Linked DNA regions of Oryzias latipes. The protein of the gene in region 5 binds, or shares a complex with, the protein of the main gene of each other region. Links are inferred from orthologs where the notes say so. Each region holds a gene or a part of one and is shown on either strand. Other genes may lie near its edges. The genes, in order: scnm1, prpf4, cript, sf3b2, snrpe, bud13 and usp39.

Region 1 (4,026 bases), on a different chromosome or scaffold from region 5:
TGATAAACTTTCACAATTATGAATTTATTATCTCAACCTTCCATACGTTTATTGAAGAACTTTGTTAAGATTTGGTGGATTTATTACTTTATTTGTTGATAGGCGTGCCATTTGTTTATGTCAGGATTGGACGCAGATGTTTTAAAATGTCAAGTCTTGTGTACATCCCATATATTTGTTACCCTATAAATCACAATGTACAGAAATGGTGCAAACACAAATAAATGAGTGAGAGAACAAATCAAGGAAGCAGAATAATTTCAACGGGCCGCATGTGAAGATGCTGGAGAGGAGCTGGGTGTGGAGCCTGAGGCAGAGGACTTCACTCATTTTATCAGTTTACTGCTTGGACTGTTAAGCTAAGAGTTTCTAAAACATAGTTTCTGTGGCCTGCAGATTCAATCTAGCACTGGTGACAAAAAGGAAAAGAGAGTTTTGCACCTTTTCAGTTTGAGGTAGTGCTCCATCTCTCTTCGCCTCTGCGGCGTTATGAGTTCTGCCGTTTGTCTCGACTCAGACTGACACTGAATTCTGTCTTTGGATGAACAAGACTCTACAAAAATAAAAATAAAAGCATCAGTTGAAACAGAACCATCAGTTATTTTAAATAAAATATCAAAATATGATTTCTAGGAGCAGATTTTACCTGTGAAACAATCACTAGAATCACTTGTGGATGCATTGTCAGAAACTTCTGGTTTCCAACATGCAGATGGGAAATTGTGTTGAAATGTGTTTCCAGCAGTGCTCGACTGTCCTTTATTCAACTTTGTACTGAAAATAAATAAATAAACAGATATATGTTCACATCTTTACTTCCATTTTAAACTACAGATGAGTATTTTAACCTTAAATGATGACCAACCTGGTTTTTCTGTGGCAGCTGTTGTATGGAACAGTCTTCAGAAGAGCATGATGGGTAAGTTTCCGGGTCTGTGCCAGTAAAGGTGCCGAACTGGAGGGCTCCTGCAATCACAACAAAAGAGACTTGTCTCTCAGACTGAGCTCTGACAGACTCCAACTCAGCTAAATGCTCCATGTGTCCTCTGGCCGGCTCTGCTCATGTTTTCCACCAGCAGACACCCGCTTCAACTCACGCTGCAGAGTCTACAGGTTGTCTGAGTCACGTGGCAGCCACAAGCACGTACTGGATGTCACACAAGAATACGACTTATTCTTATATCCATATTTAACATGTTACAAGCAGCGACATAATATCTTTACAGGAGTACAGGAGGTGCATCCTTTCTACAACTGTCATTCCAAAACAAGTCAATAAAGTACTATAATTCAGCAACAATAAAAATTTAACCACAATAACACTAAGTATTTAGTCGTCTCTGTAAAAACGGTCGGTCGGTCGGTCGGTCGGTCGGTCATCACACGGTCATCATGTCATTGTTTCGTGTGATGGTCGGTCGGTCGGTCATCATGTCATTGTTTCGTGTGATGGTCGGTCGGTCGGTCATCATGTCATTGTTTCGTGTGATGGTCGGTCGGTCGGTCATCATGTCATTGTTTCGTGTGATGGTCGGTCGGTCGGTCGGTCGGTCGGTCGGTCGGTCGGTACGTCGGTCGGTCGGTACGTCGGTCGGTCGGTCGGTCGGTACGTCGGTCGGTCGGTCGGTCGGTCGGTCGGTCGGTCAAAATACAAAATTACCCGCAGGTAAAATGATCAAGTTGAAGCTCCAAACCTCTTTGTCTTCTGCTCTGACATAATCTTCATGTTTTCTTTTTGCAATTTCATTCTTGAACTTTGACTTTTTCCCATAAAAGGATTTTAAACCTAAAACACAAAACAAAAAAACACAACGGATATAAAAGCATGCACCAAAAGCACATGCATAATAAAACTTTATTTAAAAAATAAGAAAACATATATGACATATTTACATGTCACACCCATTCTGGAGTGACATTTACATCCATTTTCTACCAATACTCTGTTATGTAGCATTAATGTCGGAAAACAACGAACGTCAGGCGAATGATGCTCACACCTCCTGTCATTAGTGCCTTAATATGACACACCTGTTACATCAACAACACAGAAGATCTGTTTGGGGCCAAATGTGCAAACACTATCTGAGAGAAATGAGCCTACAGTGTTTTGTCTACATCTAAATATGACCACCAAGACACTTTTATACTGGGGAATTTAAAAATTTTCCACACTAAGAGTCACTTTTTAAGGAGGATATTTACCTTCTAAATGCTTCTTCCCTTGCCTGTGGACTGTCAACATGTCAACTGTGTCAAACACTGGGCGATACGAACACACAAGGCACGTGTACCTGTGTGGAGCGAACGCAGAAAGGTGAGTTACTTTCACAACAAAACTGACACTTAGGGTTTAGTTATATTCACCTGCCATTACTCAGAAGAGCAGCTTCATCTTCCGGAATAAAATTGGACAAAAGGTCAGATACACGCCGTTTCTGTAAACCAACAGCCCAAATCATCAGTAAGTATTTCATAGCAGATGAAAAATTTACATTAAATACTTTACCAAACAGTTTTCATTTACTCTGTGTACATTATATCCATATGAAACTTGCTACTAGCTAAGCTAGCAAAACAAATAAAAAACGACAGCGTATGAACTTTAAGAAAGCCTATTCTTTTATGAATACAATGTATTATATCATTTTAAATACCTTTAAAATATTAAGTTGGCTCCCATCATTTCCTTCCCTTTTGAATGACATAATTATATCGAAGTAAATCAATGGTATAAACACCAGATTAACGGCTAGCTCAATGAGTTAACTCATTGGGCTAGCTTCTCTATACGTCACACTATCCCGGAAGTGTTGGTAGTGCTGCATTCAGGGACAAACATGTACACTTTTTTTGTCCACGATTTCCAGCTAACCACGTTGCAGTTTCCCATCGTACCATTTCATTTATTTATGGTCAAGTTAACTAGTCTAACAAACCATTGTTAAAATATTATTTTACATTTAAATTGATTTGTTTGCATGTACTCTTAAGAAAGCATCGATGTGAAATGTTTATAACATCACATATTTTTTGTAAATAAATCGCGAAGGGGAAAAAAACTGCCTATTTTAATCAATGAAATTTTAATTCATACTAAACAAACTCTGATTAAAATAAAAAAAATAAAAATGTTATGTTTTCATTTAAATTTCAGTATTCAAATTACTTTGAACACAACCCACCCAATGAGAGCCGTCATTCACAGCGGCAGCCATGGCAACAGACTGCAGCTGACTGAAAAAAACAACATATTTAAAGTTTTTAGATATGTTTTTAGATTGTTTACTGACAGTTAAGCTATGTTTAAGGTGTTTTAAGTAGTTTTTCTTCAATTCCCGACTGTTGATAAGGTTCAGGCAGTGCCATTTCGGCACTTTGGCAAGAAGAAGATGAATTAGTCGATACTTTAGCAGCTAGCAGGTGAACTGGGCTTGCTAGTTTAGGACGACGTCAAACCAGTTCCAACATTAAAATTGCGTACGTGTTACTGATGATTTTCACATAAATAATTATCGGATATGTCCGGACAACGAGCGGCTTTGCCATCCGGGAGAGGCGGTCTTCTTCGCGGAAGCCGAGCTATGTCGTACGGCAGCTTGATGCGATCGTCGCCGGCGTCTCCGGTCCGCCAGAGACACGTTGAACACACGGTTCAGTCCGGAGACACGCTCCAAGGTCTGGCCCTGAAGTATGGAGTCTCTGTAAGTATAATAAACCAGATTTGTACTCCCTACTTTAGACAATTAAAACAATTTGAAATATTAACAAGGAACATCTTTTGTTTCCACACTAAAAGTAAAATCTATTCATTGGTTTTATGTTATGACATAATTTTTTTTGATTCTGACATTTGTTAGTTTAAAAAAAAAACAACAACATTCTTCTGTCTTCCAGATGGAACAAATCAAGAGAGCAAATAGGCTTTACACCAACGACTCTATTTTCCTGAAGAAGTCTCTGTCGATCCCTGTTCTGTCAGACCTGAAAGGGATTCATTTGTCTGAGGACTGTGAAGAACAAAGT
Region 2 (4,181 bases), on a different chromosome or scaffold from region 5:
ATTTCTGCATCTATTATTAAAGTATTTATTAGTAATACAGTGGAAATTAGTAGATTGGGTTAGAATGTTGATTTACGGTATGCGCCCCTAAATTTTCTGGTTGTGCCCCTAAAATTTTCAGTTGGGGGCCACAGTGCTCCCAGTGAAAAAAGTTAGTCTGGAGCCCTGTATATATATGCGTCACAAGGAAAATAGAAATAAGATCAGAAACTCGTGCGTTTACTTTGTCTGTTCTTTTCTCCAAGCAGAAACTCTCTTTTGCTGATGATGCAGCCGTGTTACTTTATTGATGGACGTATAATCTTCATACGCCGTCATTTAAATGTCCGAATCCGTCTTACTGAAGTACAGCTCTCTCTCTTTTTTTCTCCACACGTTTCCATGGTGACTCCAGAAATCGGCGATCCATTGAGAATGTTTTTATGTACCTGCTGTGCACGTGCATTAACCCAGGGTTACCAAGTGGAGCGTAATTATGCTAACTCATATCCGGTCTGTTGGAACCGACATACCCAGAGTAAGCAAGTTCAGGTGGATTTCAGCCAGAGTTCAGGGTTAAAGTCAGGGGAGTTTAAACATGACTTCTGGAATACCCCCCTGGTCTCTGTGGGGGTTTACTCAGGAACCTCTGGTTGGATCAGATCTTCAGACTCCCACAAAGAGGGGGTCAGAAGTCTACAGTGTTTGACCTCAAAGTCACAAGCTACTCCAAAATATCATTTTAAAGAACAAGCTCTGTTTCTTTTACATAAATTATGGGACACTAGAACTTAAGCTCATCTCTGGTTCTGTGGGTTTGGGCTATTCTGGAATTGAAGACGCCCTGTGACTACACCCAGCAATAAGAACCATACCATTTCTCCACTGAACCTCAGGTCTGAATCCAGCAGCCAAAACAGCGCCCCCTAGGGAGCAAAGTGGACGTACTTTGCTGATTATCTGACACACCTAACCACGAAACGTGAAAGGTTCTAGTTTGATGCTCCACTGGTTCCAGTTCAGTCAAAGGGTCTTAAAAGAATGAGGATGCTCTGGGTCACACGGATCAGTTTGTGTAAGGTTTTGGTTGACAACCACCTGTTTCTGTCATGACAGCCAGCTGTACAGAATCTCTGATTCGGAGGAAAGCCACGAGCTCTGCTCCGTCTGCAAGGAACCCAAGACCTGGAGATGAGCTCCGGACGTTTGACCTCCTTTCTGGACATCCATTCAGCAAATAAACAAACACCACGTGATCTGCAGTTTTACTTCTGGTTAGCAACAAATTAGGTTCGTCACGCGCTTTTACCAGTGAGCTTACCTTGAACGAGTGGGTAAAACGCGCGCTCGCGGAGCTCCACGACCTGTTGTTGAGACACAAGACGCGCGTATCCAGGTTTTTCCGGTGAACCGGAAGTAGTAGGTTGACCCGGAAGCGGTTACAGCACATATATCCGGATCATTTAGCGCGTGGAGGCAGCTTTGTCGGATTAAGGTGAGTTTACGAAAAAAGTAACGAAGCTGTAGCAGCAAAAACAGTTAAGGACTAGCACGCGCTCACAGCATCTAATTTATTCCTCCGCCGCACGCGCTTTCAATCAGCCACAGATTCCCCCGCGTGGATCGGAACCGGTTCCACTGCAGAAATTGGTTGGAGGTTCTAACTGTTGTGCAGCTTCGCCTGCAAAAAGGGTGATGGAGGGAAGAAATGTTCAGTGTTTAGTAGATGACGTCATTAGTACAGACTGAATGTCCGTTTGCCTCAAGAAACGCAAAACAAAGAAAAGACGTAAGAATAGGCTGGCATTTACGATAGGACAGGTATAAAACATCAAATTACCAAGGATAGAAGATTAAAACTACTGTCGACTAAAATGCTTCATCGTTTAAAAAGGCGACCGTACCAAAATCTCCAAATAGGGGAGGAGCATCTGAAAGAAACAGAGAAGTTCAGCCGGCTAACAAGGAATATTGTGTTTTTGTTTTTCATTTAACTTTATTTGTTTTTAATTAACTTTATTCATTTCGTAGACAAATGCAAACAAAGGGAGTCAAACGTACACATGTTAACATAAAATGATGGATTCCTAGAGAAGAAAATAATAGAATAACTGAATATGATAGAGCTTATTGATGCTAACAGATGTGAAGAATTTATGTCATGTTTACATTTTATTTCTAAGTATCACTTCGGGTTTGCTGTTGGGGACTTAGCTGAATATAGAATTTAGCAAAAAATTAATATTTTTATTAAAATATGAATCCTTTTTGTCCTGATTAAAATGATAGAAATCGAAAATAACATTCTCATAAGGGTGAAAATCAGTGCAGATCAAGTCAGTGATCGTCTTTTAGAGAAGGAGGCCAGGCGTCAATCGAGAGGGTCGGAGGGTCCTGTCCCGGGTAATTATGAAAAGCAGACCCGTTATGTACATTTTCAAGGCATCGTTTCAGATGATTTGAAACCACCAGGGGGGTATTCCAGAAAGCAGGTTATGCTAGCTCCCACGGTAAGTTTGAGGCTAAGGAAGTGGATAACCTCAGCTTTCTGTTCCAGAAATGGAGGTATGTTTCAGGGTAGGTCAAGTTGCCATAGCAACTCATGCTCTGAACATAACCTGGTCAGGAGCAGGTTTAGTTGAAGGTTAGTTTGTTTTTCAGAGATGTGAAGCAGCATGGCGTGTCCATTTGAAGATGATTTAGTGGATGAAGAAGCTCAGATAATACTTTTTCCACCATGAGAGGATGATAAGACCACATATGGATGTTGGAAAGAGAAACTTTATACTTTCATCTAACTTAATTATTTGCTTAAGTTAAGATGAATCTTTTTTGGAGTTCAGTCAGCTTAAAAATAACACGTAGTTATCAGACATTTATTTTACTTTCATTCAAATTGATTCAATGAAGTAGGTGTAACTTTGGTGCTGCTGTTAGATCTGCACCGCAAGGAATTGTGGGATACCATTCCCTTTGCCTGTCTGGACGGATTTGGGTTTAAGTGTGGGTTTTTGACCAAATGTGTTTAGTTTAGCTGTTTTACTGTGTTTTGTCTAGTTATTTTGTCCTGTTATGTTTAATTCTTTCTGCACCATGAGTGAGAGGGAGGAAGAGGCGGATGAGTTTATTTAGCACCACTAGTGCGCGTTTCCATGGTGACTCCAGAAATCGGCGGTCCATTGAGAATGTCTTTATGTACATGCCGTGCACGTGCATTTACCCAGGGTTACCAAGTGGAACGTAATTACGCTAACTCGTATCCGGACTTTTGGAACCGACATACCCAGAGTAAGCAAGTTCAGGTGGATTTCAGCCAGAGTTCAGGGTTAAAGTCAGGGGAGTTTAAACATGACTTCTGGAATACCCCCCAGGTGCAGAGATTGGGTTCACTTCTACTCTGTTGACGGCTACATTTTCTTCTGACCTGCGGGTTTACGACACAATTTCCAAACTCATCTCCAGAGTAAATATAAACATGTGAGCGGTGGAGGCGATGCGGCTCAATGGCTGCGGGCCGTTATCGTGTTGTGGGGATGGCTTTATAATAATAATTGTTATGAACATTCATCGTCTCCGCCTTGTTCTCACTGTCCACTTCTGTCTTGATTCACACTTGAGTTGCTCCTTTTTGGTCTCCTGAACAAAATCCGTAATAAACTGCATCTGGTCCAGAATTCCACTGCCCATATTGTCTCCAGAACTCCAACCTTTGATCACCCCCCCCCCCCCCCCTTCCTCCAGCAATTGCACTGGCGTCCAATTCAATTCAGACTCCTCCTCTTCCTCACCTTCAAATCCCTCCATAACCTGGCCCCTGTTTACCTCTGAGCTCCTCCAAGTTGACGCCTCCTCTCGTTTTCTCCGGTCCTCTTTTTTTCTCCAGCTTTCTCACATTGTTTTTTTATCCTATTTTTCTAAATGTATTTTTATTCTTGTTTTTACTGCTATGTACAGTGACCTTGTGTGTCAAGAAAGGCGTGTGTCATCAAATTATTATATGCAATTCTTAAGATGGAAAAATTGATATTAAAATATAAAAGGAAAAATTCTACTAAATTTGGTCAAAATTCATCAAATCCATTCAGAGCAGGCTTCTAATGAATTCCACTGTCTATTTGATGTCTGCATTTAATGTCTCCACCTTATACTTAAATTTAAGTGAAATGAAATTAAACCATTGGGTGTTTTTGCTGATATTTGTT
Region 3 (4,025 bases), on a different chromosome or scaffold from region 5:
AGCCTTTGGGTTTCACTTGAATAGCAAAGTTTGACAAACATCTCAATAAATAAATATTTTATTTTTGCCCATTTAGTTGTTGTTTCACAGCAGTTTGGGTTGTGCATATATTCAGGCATAATTTTTAGCTCAGGGGCTATTTTTGACCACTTCATCAAAACCTGCAATATTTGGGGCACAACATGCAATTCTGCAATCAATGTAAAACCTTGTATCCACTTCTGCAAGCCGAGTGCTTGGGGCTGGGGTCGAGGTTTGTAAAAATATGGCTTTTGAGGTTTGAATTTCATCACTCAGTTCAAATACTTTACAGACATAAACAAACAGTTAAGTTAACCTATTCCTATACCTTTAAATTCTTTGTATCAGTCACCAGGAACCCTAAAAAAATTACATTTACATCAAAGGATATTTTATAAATTAAAGTGTGTAGTGAGAAGATAATAAAGGACTTGCCAACATGTGTACATTTATATAAATGGGCATCTGTTATGGAAGCACAAACATATGCCAGCACAATGTTGGTTATAGTAAAGATTTACAAAATTACAGACAAATTTATATCAATATTATGACTGAACATAAAAATGAAAAACCTACTTAATACTGTTCTGCTTTAATATGATTTTTGGTTCTACAATACATTGTAGTGTTAATTTTTGACATGTTACCTTCAATTTGTATTGAAGAAAATAAAAATAGAGTTTAAGTGCACAACTATACCTTTCTTGTAAGCACAGCCCTGGCAGTAGTGCGATCCAGGCTGATGAACAGAGCTCTTGCAGATTCTGCAGATGGCAAAGCCCGTCTTACTGTAAGGGTCGAACCTGAGAAAAACCACAGTTAAACATTGAGAATTAGCAACATCAAAGAACCTTAACAGCAAAATAAACCACTAGTGCTTACAGAAAGCTAGAAACTACTACACTGCCATTTGATTTATGAGTAAAAGTTTTTTCACAGTGCAATACTCACCTGGCCTTCTTAGATGTCAACATCTTGTTTTCATTTAGTTTACGGCCTCCACTCTCTAAGAAAAATAAAACAACATTGTGAGATTATATATACACATGTATGTACATACATACATACCAGTGGCGATTTCTTTAAGACTGCAAGGGAAGCTCTGCTTCCCTTATAATGTCACAAAATAAATGGTCAAATATGTACTATTGTATTGTATTGTATTTTATTTTATTAACATTTTATTGACTAAAAATGTGTAAGAAAACGTTCATCTCAAAGACGAGTTCGTTAAGAATCAGTTACATATAGCAAGTCGCCTGACTCGATTTCCTTCTCATACATTCCCGCAGCATCACAGTGCATTTCTCTAAAGAAGCCCAGCGTCCATTGACTTCAATCGGGCTGCTTTGAACATTTTTTTTCTGCGCTTCGAAACTAGATGGTCATTGGATAAACGCTGTGATTATGTCCCGCCAACGGATGCTCAGCGTCTCTGGGGGTGAGTGGGGAGTGGGCCAGCCCAAACTCCGAGCTTCTCCGTGATGATTGAAGGGTCTGTTAAAAGACCGCCTTCTGACTGAAGCTTTTCGCTTATTCACATTTCTCAAGTTCAGTCGAACTAAAAACTGCTGCAACCTATTTCTTTGATAATTGCTGGGCTAAATTGCTTGATTTTCATCATACATTTCACACAATTATACACCACATTGATTGTTTCAGTTTTACAGAGTTTAATATTTTTTTTTAGATAGTTAATTCTTCCCTTTGATTCAGGAAGACTGAGGTCAGAACTTCAAGTCCTGTTTTCAGATCAGGACTTGCAGGGTAACAGGGGAAAGCTGTATGATTACTTGGTGTTCCTTAAAGACATGGAGTTGGACAGTCCAATGCCTCAGCTTTACAAACTGTTCTCATTAGTGGCAACAATTGGAGTTACATCTGCAGGTGTAGAAAGGAGCTTCTCCTGTTTAAAGTGACTTAAGTCCTACACCCGAAACACAATGGGCTAAGGCTGTTTAAGCAGCCTAGCTCTGCTGGCCATTGAGAGGACATTGGTCAAGTCAGTTGAGACACCTAGTTGGTACGACAGGGTCACAGACCATTTTCTTGAAAAGGAACGTAGGGCATAAATACTTTTAAATAAATAGACAATTTTATGATGTAGGCCGAAAATGAGCCGACAGACAGACCGACAGACAGACAGACCGACCGACCGACCGACCGACCGACGGGGAAAACAGATATGTAAATGAGTACTGTTCTAATAAATATTTTAGCAGTAGCTTCTCCTTCCATCGTTTCGATTCCTTAATGACGTTCATTTACAAGACAGATTTTTTGGGGGCAACATATTTATTTTACCTGTCGTTCCACGATTGTCTAAATTATTAAACGTGTAAACATTTTTGGATGTTTTTGGATAGAGACTACGTTACCAGTCGTATTTCGTGCTCCATCCTTCCAAGTGTCAGGAGTGATGACCTTTCCGAGCTTCTTTTCGCCTAAAATATTAGGAAATCCCACATTAACAAAGAATTATTAATAATTAACAAAGCTAACTACGAGCAAGGAAAACCAAAACAAATGCTAGCATAACAAAATATTAGCCACTCAACAAAACAACAAAAATGTCACTAACTAACTATATTAACTAAGTCATAAGTGTAAAATTATGTAAGAAACAAGGCGAAAGTGCGATATTTACATTTTTCACAAACCATCTCAGCTGCGTTTACTTGGCCTGTCTTGATATAAAATGTGTACAAGCGTTCAAGCTAGCTCTGCTCATGTAACTTCCGGTTGTCTTCGTCAACTTGTACAAACAAATCTCATTGGGTAATCCTGTCAGTAAAACGTTATGTGATTCGTTCACTCCGACTAGAAGCGCATTTCTAAAATCCAGAATAAAAGTAAAATGAGAGTAACAATATTTTCGCCACGGAATCAGCACTCGAAAATATAAATTTCACTTTAGAAAATAGTATTTTATTATAAAGTGTTGAATATGATTTAAATATGTTGGGTAATGTATGTCAAAACAAAGAAATTGGTAGAAATTAACAATCAAAAGAGAATCTTCTGTTTTATTGTGAAACGCAAACGGAAATTGCTTTTTTTTTTTCATATTTACGGAAGCGTAGTCATACATGGATTTGCGTGTCCTTTCGCCTACCAAAATTCTAAGACACCTCTACTGAAATTATCTACATTATTCTATTGTCTTGTTGTGAAAAGTGAAAGTCTTCATCATGTGGGACCACGAAATCAGAGCCATGGTGTCGACCCACGCTCTGATCGCCGCTTCGATGTTCATGGCTACGGTGCTACCTGCAGTTTTTGTTCTAAGCTTCTCGGTGTACGGCACTCACCTGTTGTGGCTGTACTGCACATCCGGTGCTGTGAATGCTGTCAGTGTCGTCGTCTTCTGGCTCCTCGGCGTCACACCGTCCACTAAAAAAAATACACTTGGATATAAGGTCAGAATGTCTTCCCTCGGAAATGTCTTTATTTTGTCCAAACCCAAAGAAATGTGCTTGATTTGTTTAAGGTTTTTGCCAAATAGTCATACGTATATGAGAGAAGTATCAGAAATAATTATTACACAATTTAAAATAATAGAAAACTAGGTTTTTCAAAACAATTAATTCCTATTATTTACTCGTAAACGTTTTGTCTCGTTTTTAAAAAACAAATTTGCAAATGGACGTTTCAGTAATAATTAGAAATGTGTATTTCTGATTTGAACACATTTTTAATTGAGTTTATAAACATTTGCTACAGTGCTTTATTTTCACGTTAAACATTTTAAATTCATATGACAGTCTATATGCAATTGTTGCTTATTAACATTTTTCTGCTACAACAAACTCATATAAAAAAATAATTTTTCTGAGCTTTTACATATAAAAATTGTTCATTTTTTAAGTGGATTTTTCTCAAATGTCTACGTTGTAACTTTTTGGTAATAATGATAATCCTGTTTCTTTCCACAGCTTTCCAGGCTGTTTCGTGCCTGTCTGTACTTTTTCTTGTCATGTCTGTTCTTCCACACTGTGATT
Region 4 (4,273 bases), on a different chromosome or scaffold from region 5:
GAGCAATTAAAAATAGTGTATTAAGCAAACACTATTGTGTGGCTTTCATGTTTGTTGGTTTTCATCAATGTTCGCTTTTAAAATGTTGTAATGGGGCAGTATCAATACATCTGTTTAGAATACATTTCAAGTCCATACATTTTAAGGTGAAGAATTTTAAATATTTTCAATGCTACACATTAAATGAGTTAAAAAATTTATAAAACATTTGAGTGAATTTTACATATTTTATGAGTTGAGTAATATTATAAAAAATATAGTTAGTTGAAGTGTTTTTTTTAGTTGGAAAATATTAAAAACTTTGAGTAAATAATCTCTCTTTTATAAGTTGAGGAATCTTAATATTTTTAATATGAAATAATACAAATTTAAGCCAACTGACAATATAAATTTTAATTAATGTTAACTTAAAAGTTTTAATAATATAACTTAAAAACTATTGCGTAATCTGTTACACAATAATTTTTAAGTTCAGTCAACTCATTAGGGTTTACAGCGATGCATTGGACTGGAATAATGGACTATAATAATCTCCCATTAGTGGGAACAATCACCTAAACACTGACCACTTCTTGGTTTCAATAGTACAATTCCCATCAGCCCTTGTCCTCAAACCAGAATGTTCCCAAGCTGCTTCCGTTTATTACTCACCTGTCTCTCATCTGCAATCACACAACCTCTATATCACTTGTCAAACTTAAGGCCCGCGAGCCAAATACAATACTTGGTGTGTATTCATATCTAAGGGGAATTGGAGTAGAAATATCGGATTGGGCAACTGTACATTAGGACTTAAACACTGTCAATATAACCTAACCTGACAGAATAAAATTTAAAAGGATTTATGCTAGAGTAACAAGCAAACATGTTTTCTGTGCAACTGTGTCACTTTAACAAGTTATAATAAATAAATGAGTTATTTAACATTAAGGAATAATTACGTTTATTTTTCATTATATTTAGTTACCTTTGAGGAGAACCACTATGCTGATGTGGCCCTCGGTGAAAATGAGTTGGACACCCCTGCTATATATACAGAAAACTAGCTCACATTACAAAAAGTTGTGGCACATATTTACCTTTATACTTGTAACTTCTGTTAATTTCAATTCTTAACAACCCAAAATCAATTTAACAAATTATACAGCATCACGTATTTGAGCCCTGCCCTGTCATGGATTTGATTTTGTTCTAGTACAAAGAAAATGCGAATATACTTCAATGTCTTTAGTAGTAGTATATTAGTAGTTGTTGTTGTCATTCATTGTAGTAGCAGTAGTAGTAGCAGCAATGGGACAACGTTTTTACATTATTTACACAAATATATCAATTTGTTTACAAAAAAAACGTTTTCAAAAATCATATTTCAACCAGTTAACGGGCCAACACTGACACCCAGAGACGTCCGTAGGAAAATTAAAGGAAAATTTACAACTTCATATCCCTAAGACCATTGCGTTTCTCCCATAATGCCTTGCTTTTTTTTCTTGTTCTCGTTTCTGTCTCTCGCGAGTTTATCTCTTTTTTCCACCGCCGTTGATCGACTGCTCAACATGGCTTCTGACGGACCGCCGGGCACGGACCCGAATGATTTAGGTAGTGTAATCGCAGCATTAAACACATGGAGCGTCCCAGAGCTTCAGGGGAAGCTGGTGGAGCTAGGAGCTCCAACAATGGGTAAGAAAAGCTCCCATATAGTGCAAAAATCAAAGCGCGTTGTTTTGAAGCTAGCTTACGGCTAGCATTAGCTTGGAGCACATAGTCGTTGAACCTCCGTCATAAAGCGCTCCAACAACAGGCCCGCAGAATGGTTTGACTCCGTTTAGTATTTTCATATGCATATTTTAAAAGCCGTTTTTGTCTAATATTTTACAGTTGGAATACCAAACGTAACAATTGATTGCTTTTGATGATTTCTTACAAAAACTAGCTAAGTTTTTGCTGATGATGATGATCGACAGTTCCATTGTTGTGAACTGCTTAGGATTTGCTAATAATGTGATCAATAATTGGTATTTTACGTCATATGGTACTCTGATTACGTTAATAAATAACTCCAAACCGATGAATTATTATTAAAATAAAATACAATGGTCGTGCTTCTCTTAATTTAGGCTCTAGAGAGGAACTCATTGACAGACTGAAGGGCTACATGATGCAGGTAAGCTCATCCTCGAAATCAACATCACACCCACACAAATGCAACTTCCCATTCTTAATTCATTTTTTTTCTTGTTGATTTTAAAAACTATTATTCAAATGGATAATAATAAAATGTTTTTGAGGGTTTTATACCAATAGTTTGGGTAATCTCTCTTGTAGCCCTTCACATTGAGCCATTAAAACGGTGTGGAACGTTTTTTAAATTTTACGATGTCTATCTGGATTTATGTATGTTTAATTTTGTAAAATGTTTTAGTATGCTGTATAGGGATAATAGTTCAATTGCAAAAATCTCAAGTTAATATGGCAACAAACAACTAAGGGAAATCATTTCATTAGTAGCCTAACAAAGAATAATTGGTTGGCTAATGAAGGCTATTGAGTGGACTTAGTTTTGACTGTTTTTAACTTATCTGCATTGTTCAACTTCTGAATTTATAAATCAGACTGTAGACATGTGATGTTTAGCTAATTTTTAATGTGTCAGGTGGAAAAGCAAAAATAAATGGCCCAAAATAAAAATAAAAAAGATTAATTTCATATCAGTCAGCCTCCTATCTATTGCTCTTTTCACAATATTTTCATTTCTTTTTTTCAGGTGCCGAGCATTCCTCCCATGCCCCCGATGCCCATGCCACCTATGCCCCCAGGGATGGGAATGATCCCAGCAATGAACATGATACCCCCTGGAGCTCCTCCCTCTGGCATGCACATGACAATGGATCATCCAAACATGCCACCTCCTGGTCTCACACAGGACGATCAGCTTAAAATGGTTCAGCAGAGAGCTGCCATTGTGTTACAACAGGAAGAAAGGGCCAAGCATCAGGTGGGATGGCAGAACTGGCCAACTGCTGCATTTGACACATTAATCGCTAATATTGTAGTACTCGGCAAAACAAAATTACTGGACTGTATTTAAACATTGTAAGTTTTACAAAGTAAATTAGGTAAAAACAACGATCATAGATACAATTTTTCAATGTATTTGGGTAAAGCCAACATTTTTTACTAGAGACCTTTAACAGAAAACACCTAAACAGTCACATTTGCTAAACATTGGCCTTTTTTTGTTTGGCTAAAACAGGGGGACGAAAATGAACTTCTGGAGCAGCAGCAACGGGTAAGGAATTGCAAACAACACATTTTGTTCAGCTGTCAATTAAAATAAGGAAGACATTTATTTTCTTTGTTTCTTATTGTGATTTTATATTGCTTGCATCTCTCATTCATTTCTTCCTTAGGCTGCCGTGCTGCTGGAACAAGAACGACATCATGAAATGGCAAAGATGCAGCCAGCTGTCTCTGCAGTAAGAGGTTTGTGGAATATCCTAAAACCTTTTACAAGTGATTCCATTCAAGATCAATGTCACAAAATGTTTGTCAAGGGAAGACGTCTCTGCTTCCTACAGTGTTGCAAGCTGACGTTAAACCAGCATTTAATAGTATATTTTTACATTATCAATCACAAATTTGTTTTTTTCACAAAACCAAAGTTTCAGTTTTGGATCCTCACGGGCCTTTACCTCCTGGTGTCACCTTGTTGCCATCTCATAAACAAAAGGTGCCACCCCCTCCAGGAGAAGATAACAGAGACGTACGTTTTTCCTGCACTTCTCTAATTTTTGTTTTAGACATAGGTTAACACTAATTCTGGTGTGATTTAAGCAAAGTTAGATTCTTTTGAAGTTTTTTTAAACTCTTTGAACTTTTTTGATTAAAATGCGACAACCTGCTGGTTTAGTGTTAAACTGCAATTCCTTTCTTCCTGCAGATCTGGCAGAATGAAGAGATTAGTGTTGGCGGGCCCAAGATCCCACAGGCTCTGGAGAAGATCCTTCAGCTGAAGGAGATCAGGCAGGAGCAGCTTGTCGATCCAGCAGGTTAGACTTACAAAATAAAATATCTCCAGATTCTTTACATTCACTGTTACTGTCGTAAGGTATGGCCCCTAAAACATTTTTATTTTAGGGTATAGCATGGATATGTGTTTTTTGGTTATTTAATTTAAAGTCTGATTTTTTTTTTTTTTTTGCTTTATTTTTTTCAACAGAACCTGATCTGCCTTAAGTGTGATTTTTTTTATTACTGATTATAAAACCAAAACAAA
Region 5 (4,236 bases):
AAATAAATAAAATCATCTGCATAATCTCTCTCTAACCAGCTCAGAGTTAGGGTGTCTGCCCTGAGACTGGAAGGTCATGGGTTCAAACCCAGGCTGAGTCATACCAAAGACTGCTGGACACTCAGCATTAAGGGGTTGGATTGGGGGGGTTAAATCCACCAAAATGGTTCCCGAGTGCAGCTGTGTCTGCAGCTCACCGCTCCCCCAGGATGGGTCAAATGCGGAAACAAATTTCGCACACTTAGGTGTGTGAGAGAGAGTGGGGTTTAATTTAATTTAATTTAACACACATGTAATTAGAAAGTCACATACATGTTTTTATGTTTTATATTCTTAATTTAGCTCACAAAAATCTTAGGTGGGGAAAAAACACTCCTCAATGGAGCTCATGTTCCTGCTAAATTCATAGGTCTGCATCTGCAGGTGAAAATATATTTCACATTTAATCAAAAACAAAAGTTATGCGATAAATTCTAAACCTTTTTGAAGAAAGAACACTACTGAACAAGAAGAATCATTTGTACCTCTCACCTTCTTGACTAAATACTTTTATAGACAACTTCTTTAAATCGACTGCACTTTTTAACAATGTTTATTGTAGAACTCAGATTAGAACTTTAAGTTTATTTATAAGGAAAGTGAAGTGAAACCTTTTACTAATGTTCATCTTGGGCTCGAGTTGTTTCTTATGTTTTTGTTTTTCTCTGCTGCCCTCTTTTGGATAAAATAGGTCACTGCTGTGACAGTAGAACCTGGTCAAGATAAATGTTTAGGAAATAGTTTACAAAATTAAACTCTAATATTGAAAACAAAATTACTTGTAAGAAAATAATAATAATAAAAAGTTTGAACAATTATGGAAAAATTACAAAAATTATCAACAATTTTCACTTATTGAATTTGTGTTGCAAAAACAACTACAGTAATTACATATCTGTATGCTTGTTAATATTATGTGTAATAGGAAAATAAAAAAATAAAAATCTAAATGATAAATTAGACTATATACATCCAACAATTGAACATCTATGAAGTAAATGACGCTATATCCAAACTAGTTGATGTATCAATATTTAAACCTTCTTTTCTGCTATATGAAAGCTGTTCAAATATTATTGGTACTTGTGTTAATCACTGAAATTAATCCAAGCAAAAATAAACGATTACTGAAAATGTACAAGAAAAAAGTCGAAGCAAAACCTTTGTATTTTTCCCTTCAGGATTAAGAAATAAATATGTACTGAAACAGACGTTGACAAAAAATATGGTGACTCAAAAACAACTTAATTATTAAATTTAGCCTTTTAATTGGTACCAGATGTGTTTTCATACTTTTTATAAGTCATAATTAGTCTGCATATTTGAAGGATTTCACACTGAACGTAATTTTTGACCAAATATCAAATTGTGCAGTATTGACATCCTGCCTGTAGGTGGCGCTTGTTCGGTGAAGGGAAACCTTTCAGTGCAGGAACCGGATGCGGAAAGAAACCCGCCATTAAGGCAACTTGGCATCGTGAGCTGAACGTTGAAATCATTCAATTGTAAAAGGCAATATTTCTTTAACGAAATACTTCTTGCGTGTCTTTTTTGCGTGTGAAGAGAATGGCTTACCGAGGACAAGGACAGAAGGTGCAGAAGGTTATGGTGCAGCCCATTGTATCCTTTCTTTGCTGTTAGCATTTGTTAGCAGCGATGCTAATCGGTTATTTCTCGTGTTTGCTCATCGGTAAACTGTATTCCTTTTTTTTCTAGGTACTACATGACTTTCTAAATACATTGGAATGCATATTTACTGACTTTTTTTAATTTCAGTATTGAAGCACGTATTTTTCTGTTTATCGATCAAATTTAAGCACGACGTTGTACTTCGAAAGAAATTGAATTTGAAACAAACATTTTTAGCATTTTCTAAACGTACATAGCAATATGATGGGTTATCAATTTACTATTATACATTTTACAAAAATACGTTTGTTTAATTGGAAAGAAGAAAACAATGACACGTTTACCTTTGGCAGAGTTTTCTTTTAGTGAAAAAAGAAGTCAACAATCGAGATGTTGCACTTAACGACTTAAACTAATAATATTAGTTAAATGCACTACTTTGGTCTGATAATTAAATGTTCTTTTGATTTGTTGTAACAATTGGTCATATTTTGTAGTTTTTTATTTGGTTTTTAACTTAACTCAAGTTTGTCCCTGTGAGTGTGTGAGACCTGTTTTCTTATTTTTCTTGATTATGAAGTGACATGTCATCTATAAAAAAATAAAAAAGATGTTAAAGAAATTAAGAATACCATTAAAATTTGACTCGTAAAAAAACCCCTAACAAAGTCAATAAATAAGAGAAAATCTAATGCCAGAACCCGTTTTAAATCCATTTTTAAGCGTGTCTTCAGTTGTTTTGACATGGTTGCCCTACAGTTTACGTTATAACGTGGATACATCAGCAGAAGTTAAATAGTAAACTGTAAAACTCTAGAACAATTGCAGAATTTCTGTAAGCTGGTAAAAGGCATAACTAACGTTAAAAGACCGCCGATAATACTTCAAAAATAGATCAAAATGATCTGAGTGGGACTTTCGAGCAAATTCTGCGTCATCCATAGCTTTATTTCATCATTTCGGTCATGTAATTGGTTTGTGAAGTCCTTTTTCACTGGCTTACATTGAAATGTATGACATTCACTGGTATTTAACAGGATCTCAGCTCTCCGGTTAAAGTGCAAAACAGTTTGTGTCACTCTACTGAAATTGAAATGACTAGTTCATGTTATTTGAAATATCTTCTGTAACATTGAAACGGTTTAGACATGTCATTTCCTTGACTCTGTTCATCAGAACCTCATTTTCAGATACCTTCAGAACGTGAGTATTGAAGGCTCTTGCAGGTTCACCTTTTGTCTCGGTGGTGACTGAAATACTGATTCGTGTCATCTTTGCTTTGCAGCGCTCACGAATCCAGGTGTGGCTTTATGAGCAGGTGAACATGCGGATAGAAGGCTGCATCATTGTAAGATTTCTCTTTATTTTACTTTCACAGTGTTTGTTAACTTTCCAAATGTGTGCCACAGTTACTTTAAAACTGGTATAGACTGTAAAAACGATCGACGATTCCAGGTTTTCCTTCTCCGCTCCAAAAGGGGGAACAAGAGAAAGTTTGAGAACCACTGACCTAGCATTTTAGTTATTTTTTTTATTGGAGCTTGGTAAAAGTTCTTAATGGCTGGTGTTAGATCCACAATAATCAACTTAAAACTGTTTTGCAGAAATTTTTTCTACGACTATTTTGGGGCTCTGTTTTAGCTGCTTTTGCAGCGGGCACCTTTCTTACCAGTAGAGCAGAACTCTGCAGCTGATTTAAAAATGTATTTGAAAACGGCAACAAAAAAAACACACACTGGTTCAGACTCACAATACAGTAGGTAAATGATCAATGAGAACAGCATAATGACAAACTAAGCATGAATTAGGAGACCAATTGAAATTGCCGGTCCTACACTCTTGACACTTTAATCTATTTTCAGAACATTCTCGGTGATCTTTTAACTATGATTATGCTGTTTTTAGCCGAAATAAAAACAAACAACCTGTGCCGTTTTCTTGGGGGGGAAAAACCTTGAGAGCCTGAATTTAAATGAATCCAAACAGCTTCAGTTATGAAAGTAGTTAATTGATTATTTCCTTTTTATTTTATTTTCCAGGGCTTTGATGAGTACATGAACCTGGTTCTAGATGATGCTGAGGAGGTCCACATGAAGACCAAGAACAGAAAGCCACTGGGTAAGACTCTTTAGCTTGTTTAATTTGTTAAATTTCAGTTACTATTTTTTGATCTTAGCAGTTATTAGAACAGCTTTATTTATTTATTTTACAATGAAAAATTTGAATATTCTTTGTATTTATTAACATGTACTGTTAGCTTTTGTTTCTAGAACTGCTGTAACAAAATATTTGTTTGAGGAAAACATAGAAATATTTTTCCAGTCAGTATTTATTTGTTATACACTCAGGAATGTCAGTTTTTAAAATGTCAAGATAAATTTCTTTCCTTGTTTCACAGGTCGGGTTATGTTAAAGGGCGACAACATCACCTTGCTGCAGAGTGTCTCTACCTAGTGACACCAGTGACGACTGCAGATCCTGTCTTTTTTTTCTGTTAACTGCTTACGATTTTATGCATAAATGTGAGTTTCTCTACAACCTTTGAGAATAAATGGCTTTGTTTTTTTC
Region 6 (4,281 bases), on a different chromosome or scaffold from region 5:
CTGTACTTGAAGTACTAATGCCCAAATTTTTCCATCAGAAGAGTAAAAAAAAAAAAAAAAGTACAAAAACTTGTAGAATGTTTCAAACCTTGTGTTTTTGAGCTTTTTTCCTTTTTCCGCCGAAGCATGGCAGCCATGGGATCCCCGTCCCTCTCCTGCTCCCTCAACATGCGGTCCAGATCTTCGTCGTCACGGTGACGGGCCAAGGGCTTCTGGGCTTCCAGCAGGGCGTCCTCCAGCTTCTGCTGCTCCATCTGATTCTGAGCCAGCCTAAACACAAACAATAACTTGTCTTCTTACATGTGGTGGAAGTAGCATTTTCAGTGACTTGGTATGGTTTTGTGGATTTACCCTTTACCCCACTGGGCATATTTTTCATCTTTTGCAGCCTTTTCTCCTGCTTTTCTCTTCTGCTCCTCCCTTTCTGAGGTCAAATCCCTCCTTTTGCCACTTTTGTCTCGGAAGACCGTCTCCGCATTACGAGATTCATCTGATGCGTAAATAGTATAAATAGTATAAAAACACTTTCATATACCGGTACTTCAGAAATATAGAAAGTCTAAAGTTATACGATAAGAAAAGGGTTGTTTCAAACTCTCTTTTTTTTTAAAAGTAAAACTGAAAAACAAAAGCAAGGCCAACCTTCAAGAGGTTGATTCTTTTTTTCTCTGCGTCGGTTTTCCTTTTGCTCTTCCCTTAGAATCTCCACAGATACCAAACCAGCCTTTCCTCCGGAAAGCATCCTGTGGTCCTGAAAAACACACAAAAATATTAGATGGGGTTTGTGCTGCAAATTAGGTTTCACACGAATCCCTGAACAGCGCAGATCCCTCACATGAGACTGGCCAGGTCTCCGTGGTGGTGACAGATCTCCATCCGAGTCCTTTCCACTCCTCGAGTGCTTTCTTGGTGGAGACTGGTCGGAATCGGATCTCTGCCTTGTTCTGGAGCGTCTCCGAGGGGGAGACTGGTCAGAGTCGGAAGCTTCTCGCTTCGATTGCTTTTTCCGTGGAGGAGATTGATCGGAGTCTGAATCCAGCCTAACCTTAGTCTTATGAGCTAAAGGAGACCGCCGATCATCTGGCGACCTTGGTTTACCGTGTAACGATGAGCTGGGCTTCCTTCTAGTGGGAGAAGACTCTGAGAATCAAAGAGAATGTTTGCACTATATATATTAGAGTGCAGAGAGCAAAACTAGTAATCCTAATATGAAATAGAAAAAAATAAATGTGTTTTACATAAACATTTTATTGTGTCAATATAACTATTGATATTTTTAGTAACTACTATAACCCAAAAATCTAAGAGGTTCCAGCTTTAAGCTTATTCAATGCTTAAATGGCATTGGTATGCCGTTTTCAGCTTTTTCAGTGACTTGTGCAAAATGAGCATTGTTCTGTATAAAAGCAAGAAAGAAAATCTTAACTGTAAAATAAAACTCACCTTTACTTTTAACTTTCCCAGACTTCCTTAAATGTTGCCTTGAAGGAGACTTGCTGGGAGAGTCATGGCGTCCTCTGCTAGGAGGAGATTTATCCGGAGAGTCATGGCGTCCTCTCCTAGGAGGAGATTTATCCGGAGAGTCATGGCGTCCTCTCCTGGGAGGGGATTTATCCGGAGAGTCATGGCGTCCTCTCCTGGGAGGGGATTTATCCGGAGAGTCATGGCGTCCTCTCCTAGGAGGAGAAATGTCTGGAGAGTCGTGTCTTGGTTTTTTGAAAGGGGAACCATGTCTCCCACTTTTCGATGACAGCTCTGGTGAGTCATGCCGACTTTTTTTAGATGTTAAAGGCTCCTCCTGCTCATTTTCTTCGTCAATTGTTTTGTCTTCGTCTTCATCCGCTACAGAACAACACAGTTAATATGAAAAACAACATAATTTAAAAGAAGCCAAATTTATATACTGCTTTTATAGTTACCCCCAACTATTTTCCATCTGTTACTGGTCCTAAAGGCCTCCATCTGTTTCACCTCTTCTGGCCGCTCATCGATGAACTCTGCAATCTGAGAAGGTAAATCAAAGTACAAAATTTAGGTTTCCTTGGCTTTAAAACTTTAATGTACATAACATAGACCAAATCAAATCATTATTTACTCTGTTCAAACATCTGTGTTGACTGCTTCACACACAATGCAAGTTTCCCACATATTTCATTCAAACCAATGTGTCAAATCTATCTTGCATCGATTATCCTGCATTAAAGCAGATCAATTCAATCTCACGTCAGATGAAATTCCTGTGTTACGTCTGGATTTACATTTCAATAATGTTAACAAAAAAGAAAGACATACATTTTATTATCATCAAATCAAATATCGCCATCAGACTTTCATGCGTGTAAAAGTTAAACATAGTAGACCGTACTGCGGGGGAAATGCTAACGCAAGGCTGCTAGCTAACTCACCACCGGAGCTTCCTCTTCATCCTCTTCGACATCCGGCTGCTGTTGGACCATTTGTCTCCAATCAATATCATCGTCTACTATTTTAAGTCTAGATAAAAACAACGAAGTAACACAAAATAAAAACGATTAAACTCATAGAAACAAAGTTCCAAATCAAAAATAGCTTAGCATAAGGAAACTAGCTTGGATGCTAACAGAAAGCCAAACGGCGCAGTATTTCGGTACTCACCTTGTTTCAGGAAGCTTTTTTCGTTTCTTCTTGCCTTTTCCTTTAGATGCACCATGGTTGTCGTCAGCTGATAAATACCGCTTTAAGTACTCAGCTTTAGAAAGCTCGGGTCCGGTTCCACCACCGACCGCTGCCATCTTTGTATTGTGGGAAACTACGGGTCGCGTCAAGGGTCAATGTAGACGACGAGGAAGAAGACGCGTTTCTGTATTATTATTATTATTATTATTATTATTATTATTATTATTATTATTATTATTATTATTATTATTATTGTTATTATTGTTATTATTATTATTATTATTATTATTATTATTATTATTATTATTATTATTATTATTATAACAAAAAAGTTACTGTTATGCATAAATAAATACATTGAAGATAAAGTTGACTCCAAAGAAGTTAAAAATGATAACTACTGGGCCACAATCTGCTGCAAGACTGTGTCTGTGGTGGGACCCAGTGACTGGCATACAAATAATGACTGTCACCAAAAAGGCTAAAATTGCCTGATTTCCCTAATTGACCCACAAATTTAGTCGGTCATACACCGATGCCTAGAAAGACAGGAGAGCAATGTTTTTGAATTGTAAAAGTCTTTACTCTTCTTTGCATACGATTTCAATTCTTGTTCTTATTTTTTTATTTGTCGATCATTTTTTTTACACTAAAACTTTTTCAAAAATATAGGCCGTCACTACTTGCTTTTTATAACAGAGACAAAAAGACCTAAATATTGTCCCTGTTACATGTCATGTCCAATATGTAGAGACAGATTAAATGTCATGGGTTATTGTTTATCTAAGACAGTAATAACCAGCTGCTGGTCTAGTATGATTTCCATGAATGACAATGCATTTAGGCTCCATTGAGAAAATGTGACATTTCCAAATACTGGTATTTATCTGTCAACAGTGTTCTTTGATTTATGATTTAAAAAAAACAACAAAAACAAACAAACACACAAAACAATTATATTTGTTCAATCATAAATGAAATGATTACAAGCAAATTCACAGAGCTCTTCTTTTATTAACAAGCAAACAAGAACACAATCAATTTGCTGCTTTTGCAGTGAGGAAAAGGCCACAAAAACTATTAGTGCTTTTTAATGTAAAAGAAAAGAAAACATAAAATCAATAATACCTCATTAATAAGTCAGCAACTGCATCTCTTAGTCTGCCATTAGACTGTCTCCCTCGACGAAAAAGCTGCACTTTCATTTCTACTAATGGTTAATTTACATTCAGTACTCACAGCTCTCAGCTCCTAAACATTTAAATCGTCTACAGTGGAAACATTTACCAGTGTTTTTTACAGAAGGAAGAGAGATCTATTCTGTGACAGAAGCGAAAGTGCTTAGCTTAGTGAGTATCTGCAAAAGCCTGACTGTTCTCTTCTCAGTGCCATCAGCTGTCATTGTGATGAAGGAAAAAGACCAGGCAGCCAATCAAGAACCAGGATCTCTGCAGAAACACGCTCACTGCTGAGCATGGCACCAGGGAATCTGTAAAGAGGGAAATTATTGAAGCACACCAAAAATCTATCGAAAAATTCTGCCAGCTTTTGGTTAACACTCATTCCCTTCAGCTCTTCAGTCCACCCACCTTTCTCCACTGTGATTTGTTTCATTTCCCCATATAT
Region 7 (4,184 bases), on a different chromosome or scaffold from region 5:
TGCTGTGTGAAAACAAAGAGCAGACCAGTTAAATTGAAGGACATTGCATGCAGACAACCAGCACTGGCTCTAAAATAGACTCCTTACATTGGAATAAAAGAGAAAATTACACATCAAATAAATGAATTCAGAAATTCAACAGATTTACTATAAACTAGGAGTGAATTTCTGACTCACATGGCTTCTTCTTTGTGCCTCCAAGAGCGCCATGCATGGCGTTTAGGAACCATGTCATGAAGTCCACAGCATCACCTGCAAACCAGAAAACATTGAGCAAACTCTACAAACTTATCCAGTGAGTTAAAGATTGTGGGGCAAAAAAGTATTTGGCAGCCACTGACTCTGCAAGTTGTCCCGCTCAAAAAGCTGAGTTTGGTCTGTAATGTTTACCATAGATATACTTCAACTGAGAGATAAAATGTCCAATAAATTATCCAGGAAATCACATTGTCAGATTTTTAGAGAATGTATTTGTATAATAGTGCAGAAAATAAGAATTTGGTCAACAACAAAAGTTCACCTCAATAGTTTGTAATGTAACCATGATTATCTATGACAAAGGTCAAACATAGGTCTTAAGCAGGTTTACAAACACTATAGCTATTATTCTGGACCATTCTTCCATGCAGAGCTGTAATGTTTTGAGGCTTTTGCTGAGAAACATACTTTAAACTCCCTCCACAGATTCTCTTTGATGCCAGAGTTATGTTTTTGGGATCAGTCATGTTGGAAGATCCAGCCATGTTTCATCTTTAGTGCTCTCATTGATGGAATGAGGTTTTTGCCCAAAATCTCAGCCTACATGGCCCTATTTATGTCAGCACTCCACAGGCCACAAAATAGTTACCTTGTTTGGTGATTTGGAAGTTTTTCTTGCTGCACAGGACTACAGCCTGCAGCATCTCGTGGGGCGACACGTGGGCCTTGAAGTTTCTCGGATTCCAAAGTTTGCGCATCAGCTCCCCAAACCGCTGCACCAGCAGAAACATGATGTCCCCTGGTGGCCTCCGGATGTCTCTGTAGTTCTCCTCCTCAAGGAAGTAGTTTCGCAAAGGTGGGACGTTGGAAAAAGCCTAAAAACAAAAGTACAATATGAAACCCCCTGTTATTTAAGTTGATGCCACAGCCTCAAAAATCAACATCAGCGGGGTTTCATACCTGTAGTACAGCATTGGCATAGTCGTTGGCTTTAATGTTATTAAGCCCTACAATCCCTGGCAGGTAGGTTGTACCATCGTAGGCTCTGTACAGTTTACCATGTTTGTCCAGACCCTCAATGTGCTGCTTGGTGAAAGTCGGCTTCAGCACATACTAAAGAAAAAAAGAGCAAGATTACCAACACAAAGCAAGAGCTTACAAAAAATAAAAAAAGGAGGGGTAAAAATTACTTAACATAAAACATTAAAAATTTAAAAAAGAAATGTAAAAAAAAAAGACGTATTAAAATTACAGCCAAAACTCTAAAAAGTATACTTTAAGACATTGCTAAATAACTTATTTTTAGATACTAGTACTGATACTTATGTGCAAAATATAGTAAATAAAATATACTATGCAATCAAATACATTGGCCTTGTATAAAATATATAAATATCGAACACATTTTTATGTACTCTGGGTTCACAAGTTAAAACTATTTTTAAACACAGAATATGTTAATGAAAACTATTGAAGTGTTACACTGACAAACAAGGAATGTGAGCAAAAGAATCTATCAATCATATCTAGAAGAAAAACAAAAAACTTTGTTTAATTTTAACATGTAACTGTTTACTTTTCCCCCCAGAGCAATTACCTTTTCATTTATACATTGAAAAACAGCAGATTTACTGCATTACTTACTGTGATGTCTTCTAGCGATGAGTCAATGATCTCATAGTTGTCTGGCAGACAGTAAAACTTGAGTGTGTGCAAGTTGAGGAACACATGGTGAGAAAACTGGACACTGTGAGTGTAGGCATGAGACTTCTGACCTCTGCCTGCAACAAGGAATGCAAACGTAAAGATGTTTAGTGTCATCTAAAAAGGAAAATAACAATGTGCGTTTGATGTGCTAATATGTCTACCTTGAAAGTATTTCCCACAAATAAGACAGGCATAAACATTAATGTGAGACAGAGAAATGGAGCAGAGCTTCTCAAAGTCAAAATCCAGAACACTCCTGCAAGACGAGAAGAAACTGAATTACAAGAAGAATGCTAACTAGCTTTAGCATACATTTTCAAACATTTCCTTGCCTGTTTATGGTGTCCAGGTAAGGACAATGGCGGCTTCTTCGGTCTTCAACCACACGTCCTCGCCTAAATTTGACTGTCACTGCAAAAGAGAGCAAATCACGATAAAGCTCAGTAGACGTAAACGGAATTCATTTTTACGAGAACAACTAACTACTAGCAATCAAAACATGCTTGCTAGCAAGCTAAGATTTTTCTATTAATCGATCTCTGTTTTAAAATAAACAGGTTTTACATATATTTTTATATGCTGATTGTCTTTGTCTTACATGTGAAACCATCAGTTTATTGGTGTAGAATGGAACTGACACAATATAAACTTTTTATGCTAGAAAATGCTCTTCTGGCTGGCTAACAAAACGAAAAACGGACGTAAGAGACAAATCAGCATACCTTCGTCTTCGTTATCCTCGTCGTCTTCTATTTCCTCCCTTTCACGCTTTAAAGACATTCTTGTAACTATAAGTTAGCAAACGGTTTGCTAACGAAACAAAAATTAACAAAACTTGAAGGTTTACGAGAGGAAATGAATGGATATTATTCAGCTCCTCGAAACTCGCGGTGGTTGTACGTCGGTGGTAATGGCGTGGGAAACCAAAACGTAACCCGGAGTTTAAAAAATAAATGTTTACCCCCATGTAAACTCTAAGTAATATATTTTATTTATTTGTATACTTCAGTTTCTTTTTTTGTCACAGAAATATAACCAAAATAGTTTATATTTTAGTTCAATGTGCATTGTAGGACTTACACGCAATAAATTAATTTGTAGAAACTCCGGGAACGCTACGGTTGGACATCCATTTATACATCGTTAGCTGTCTAGCTTTTTGTTAGTATTTTGCTTGTTCTTCTTTAGCTGTGTTTTCTTTCTAGAGTGTTTGCTGAAATGGATCTTATAAGAGATGAAGGAGTGCATGAGCTGAAGTACAAACCGGGGGGCCGTCTGGACATGAGCCACGGTTTCCTTCATCATATTCGGAGGAACCAGATTGCCAGGTGATTTCCTTTTTGCTGTTAGCCGAGTTAGCATACTTACTTGGGATGTCAAATGTCAATCTGTAGCTGCTGTCATTTCATGATTGATGTGAAATGATTTTTTTAAAAATGGCAGACAGTGAAATAACATTTTTTTAAAGTACCTAAAAGGCTTAAAGTCAAGTTTATTTTTACTTTAAAGCAGTAGAAGCAAAACCCTATTGGACTGACTGAAATTTTAAAAGGAGCATTAAGTTATTCGGTTTATGTTTTATTAGTGTAATTTATTATTTAAAAGTGGATTATTATATAAACTTAGGTTTGGTGTGTAAAACTTTTAAAGTTCCTCCTTGATAAATTACATACGCTGAGTTGGGCTGTTTTACAGCATCTGCTCTCTGTCTGGTCTTAAAAAAAGCTGCTACAATAATGTATGATAAGTATTTTGATTTACGTCCAAACAAAAAAGTTTGTTTTAATTCCCACACTCTCACTCTTTATTTAATCATTTAAAACGGATTTTTAACATGTTGATTTTATTTAGGCAACTTTGAAAGATGAACTATAAAGCTAAAAGAACAGCAATAATAATGTTGCTTTGTTGTGCGGCTCTTTAAATTGCTTTGATGTATGAAAAACAAAGCTGTTTTGCCTTAAAATAATAAAATTTTAAAAAAAGTATTATCCTCCAATGTGTAAACAGACCTAGGAACATTTTTAAGTTCATGGCCATGACCAAGATGCTCTGTGTTTTATTCAACTGTGCAACTTGCTATGTTTTTAAGAAATAATCAGAAAATATTTCAATTTCTTTATAAGAGATGACTATGATAAAGAAGTGAAGCAAGCCAAAGAGCTTCAGCGGCACAGGCGCACCACAACCCCCAAAAAGCCTCGGCGACCTGACATCCAGGTGTACCATCCTCGACGGAGACGTAAGACTGACATATTTCTTACTTTGCTGCTTTTAGA

Evidence for each region.
Region 1: snrpe (region 5) and scnm1 share a complex: the UniProt entries of both Homo sapiens proteins name them as parts of the minor spliceosome. The link is inferred for Oryzias latipes from reciprocal best matches to the Homo sapiens genes SNRPE and SCNM1.
Region 2: snrpe (region 5) and prpf4 share a complex: the UniProt entries of both Homo sapiens proteins name them as parts of the U4/U6-U5 tri-snRNP complex. The link is inferred for Oryzias latipes from reciprocal best matches to the Homo sapiens genes SNRPE and PRPF4.
Region 3: snrpe (region 5) and cript share a complex: the UniProt entries of both Homo sapiens proteins name them as parts of the minor spliceosome. The link is inferred for Oryzias latipes from reciprocal best matches to the Homo sapiens genes SNRPE and CRIPT.
Region 4: snrpe (region 5) and sf3b2 share a complex: the UniProt entries of both Homo sapiens proteins name them as parts of the minor spliceosome. The link is inferred for Oryzias latipes from reciprocal best matches to the Homo sapiens genes SNRPE and SF3B2.
Region 6: snrpe (region 5) and bud13 share a complex: the UniProt entries of both Homo sapiens proteins name them as parts of the minor spliceosome. The link is inferred for Oryzias latipes from reciprocal best matches to the Homo sapiens genes SNRPE and BUD13.
Region 7: snrpe (region 5) and usp39 share a complex: the UniProt entries of both Homo sapiens proteins name them as parts of the U4/U6-U5 tri-snRNP complex. The link is inferred for Oryzias latipes from reciprocal best matches to the Homo sapiens genes SNRPE and USP39.

The regions. Positions count from the first base shown.
Region 1 is NC_019874.2:27,122,062-27,126,087, forward strand, and holds the start of scnm1 (sodium channel modifier 1), read right to left. Parts: upstream 2,801-4,026; 5' UTR 2,709-2,800; coding exon 2,658-2,708; intron 2,439-2,657; coding exon 2,368-2,438; intron 2,295-2,367; coding exon 2,206-2,294; intron 1,787-2,205; coding exon 1,695-1,786; intron 967-1,694; coding exon 866-966; intron 775-865; coding exon 647-774; intron 554-646; coding exon 442-553; intron 1-441. Other genes in the region: lysmd1 (lysM and putative peptidoglycan-binding domain-containing protein 1), read left to right, coding at 3,522-3,704, 3,898-4,026. UniProt on the Homo sapiens protein: As a component of the minor spliceosome, involved in the splicing of U12-type introns in pre-mRNAs. Plays a role in the regulation of primary cilia length and Hedgehog signaling.
Region 2 is NC_019870.2:4,014-8,194, forward strand, and holds the start of prpf4 (U4/U6 small nuclear ribonucleoprotein Prp4), read left to right. Parts: upstream 1-1,381; 5' UTR 1,382-1,474; intron 1,475-4,181. UniProt on the Homo sapiens protein: Plays a role in pre-mRNA splicing as component of the U4/U6-U5 tri-snRNP complex that is involved in spliceosome assembly, and as component of the precatalytic spliceosome (spliceosome B complex).
Region 3 is NC_019877.2:12,480,875-12,484,899, forward strand, and holds the start of cript (cysteine-rich PDZ-binding protein), read right to left. Parts: upstream 2,801-4,025; 5' UTR 2,688-2,800; coding exon 2,672-2,687; intron 2,469-2,671; coding exon 2,403-2,468; intron 1,031-2,402; coding exon 976-1,030; intron 828-975; coding exon 724-827; intron 1-723. Other genes in the region: pigf (phosphatidylinositol-glycan biosynthesis class F protein), read left to right, coding at 3,216-3,443, 3,960-4,025. UniProt on the Homo sapiens protein: As a component of the minor spliceosome, involved in the splicing of U12-type introns in pre-mRNAs. Involved in the cytoskeletal anchoring of DLG4 in excitatory synapses.
Region 4 is NC_019876.2:19,504,089-19,508,361, reverse strand, and holds the start of sf3b2 (splicing factor 3B subunit 2), read left to right. Parts: upstream 1-1,473; 5' UTR 1,474-1,553; coding exon 1,554-1,677; intron 1,678-2,114; coding exon 2,115-2,161; intron 2,162-2,761; coding exon 2,762-2,992; intron 2,993-3,250; coding exon 3,251-3,286; intron 3,287-3,407; coding exon 3,408-3,480; intron 3,481-3,659; coding exon 3,660-3,760; intron 3,761-3,937; coding exon 3,938-4,046; intron 4,047-4,273. UniProt on the Homo sapiens protein: Component of the 17S U2 SnRNP complex of the spliceosome, a large ribonucleoprotein complex that removes introns from transcribed pre-mRNAs.
Region 5 is NC_019863.2:23,629,254-23,633,489, reverse strand, and holds the start of snrpe (small nuclear ribonucleoprotein E), read left to right. Parts: upstream 1-1,436; 5' UTR 1,437-1,605; coding exon 1,606-1,659; intron 1,660-2,844; coding exon 2,845-2,871; intron 2,872-2,953; coding exon 2,954-3,016; intron 3,017-3,707; coding exon 3,708-3,786; intron 3,787-4,066; coding exon 4,067-4,122; 3' UTR 4,123-4,236. UniProt on the Homo sapiens protein: Plays a role in pre-mRNA splicing as a core component of the spliceosomal U1, U2, U4 and U5 small nuclear ribonucleoproteins (snRNPs), the building blocks of the spliceosome.
Region 6 is NC_019872.2:13,070,039-13,074,319, forward strand, and holds the start of bud13 (BUD13 homolog), read right to left. Parts: upstream 2,801-4,281; 5' UTR 2,772-2,800; coding exon 2,635-2,771; intron 2,494-2,634; coding exon 2,406-2,493; intron 2,005-2,405; coding exon 1,920-2,004; intron 1,843-1,919; coding exon 1,444-1,842; intron 1,141-1,443; coding exon 836-1,140; intron 752-835; coding exon 643-751; intron 491-642; coding exon 352-490; intron 271-351; coding exon 89-270; intron 1-88. Other genes in the region: uncharacterized protein LOC101171185, read right to left, coding at 4,047-4,144, 4,245-4,281. UniProt on the Homo sapiens protein: Involved in pre-mRNA splicing as component of the activated spliceosome. As a component of the minor spliceosome, involved in the splicing of U12-type introns in pre-mRNAs.
Region 7 is NC_019867.2:12,332,842-12,337,025, reverse strand, and holds the start of usp39 (U4/U6.U5 tri-snRNP-associated protein 2), read right to left. Parts: upstream 2,801-4,184; 5' UTR 2,686-2,800; coding exon 2,628-2,685; intron 2,317-2,627; coding exon 2,238-2,316; intron 2,162-2,237; coding exon 2,067-2,161; intron 1,980-2,066; coding exon 1,843-1,979; intron 1,312-1,842; coding exon 1,159-1,311; intron 1,074-1,158; coding exon 848-1,073; intron 253-847; coding exon 178-252; intron 3-177; coding exon 1-2. Other genes in the region: c9h2orf68 (UPF0561 protein C2orf68 homolog), read left to right, coding at 3,124-3,233, 4,032-4,147.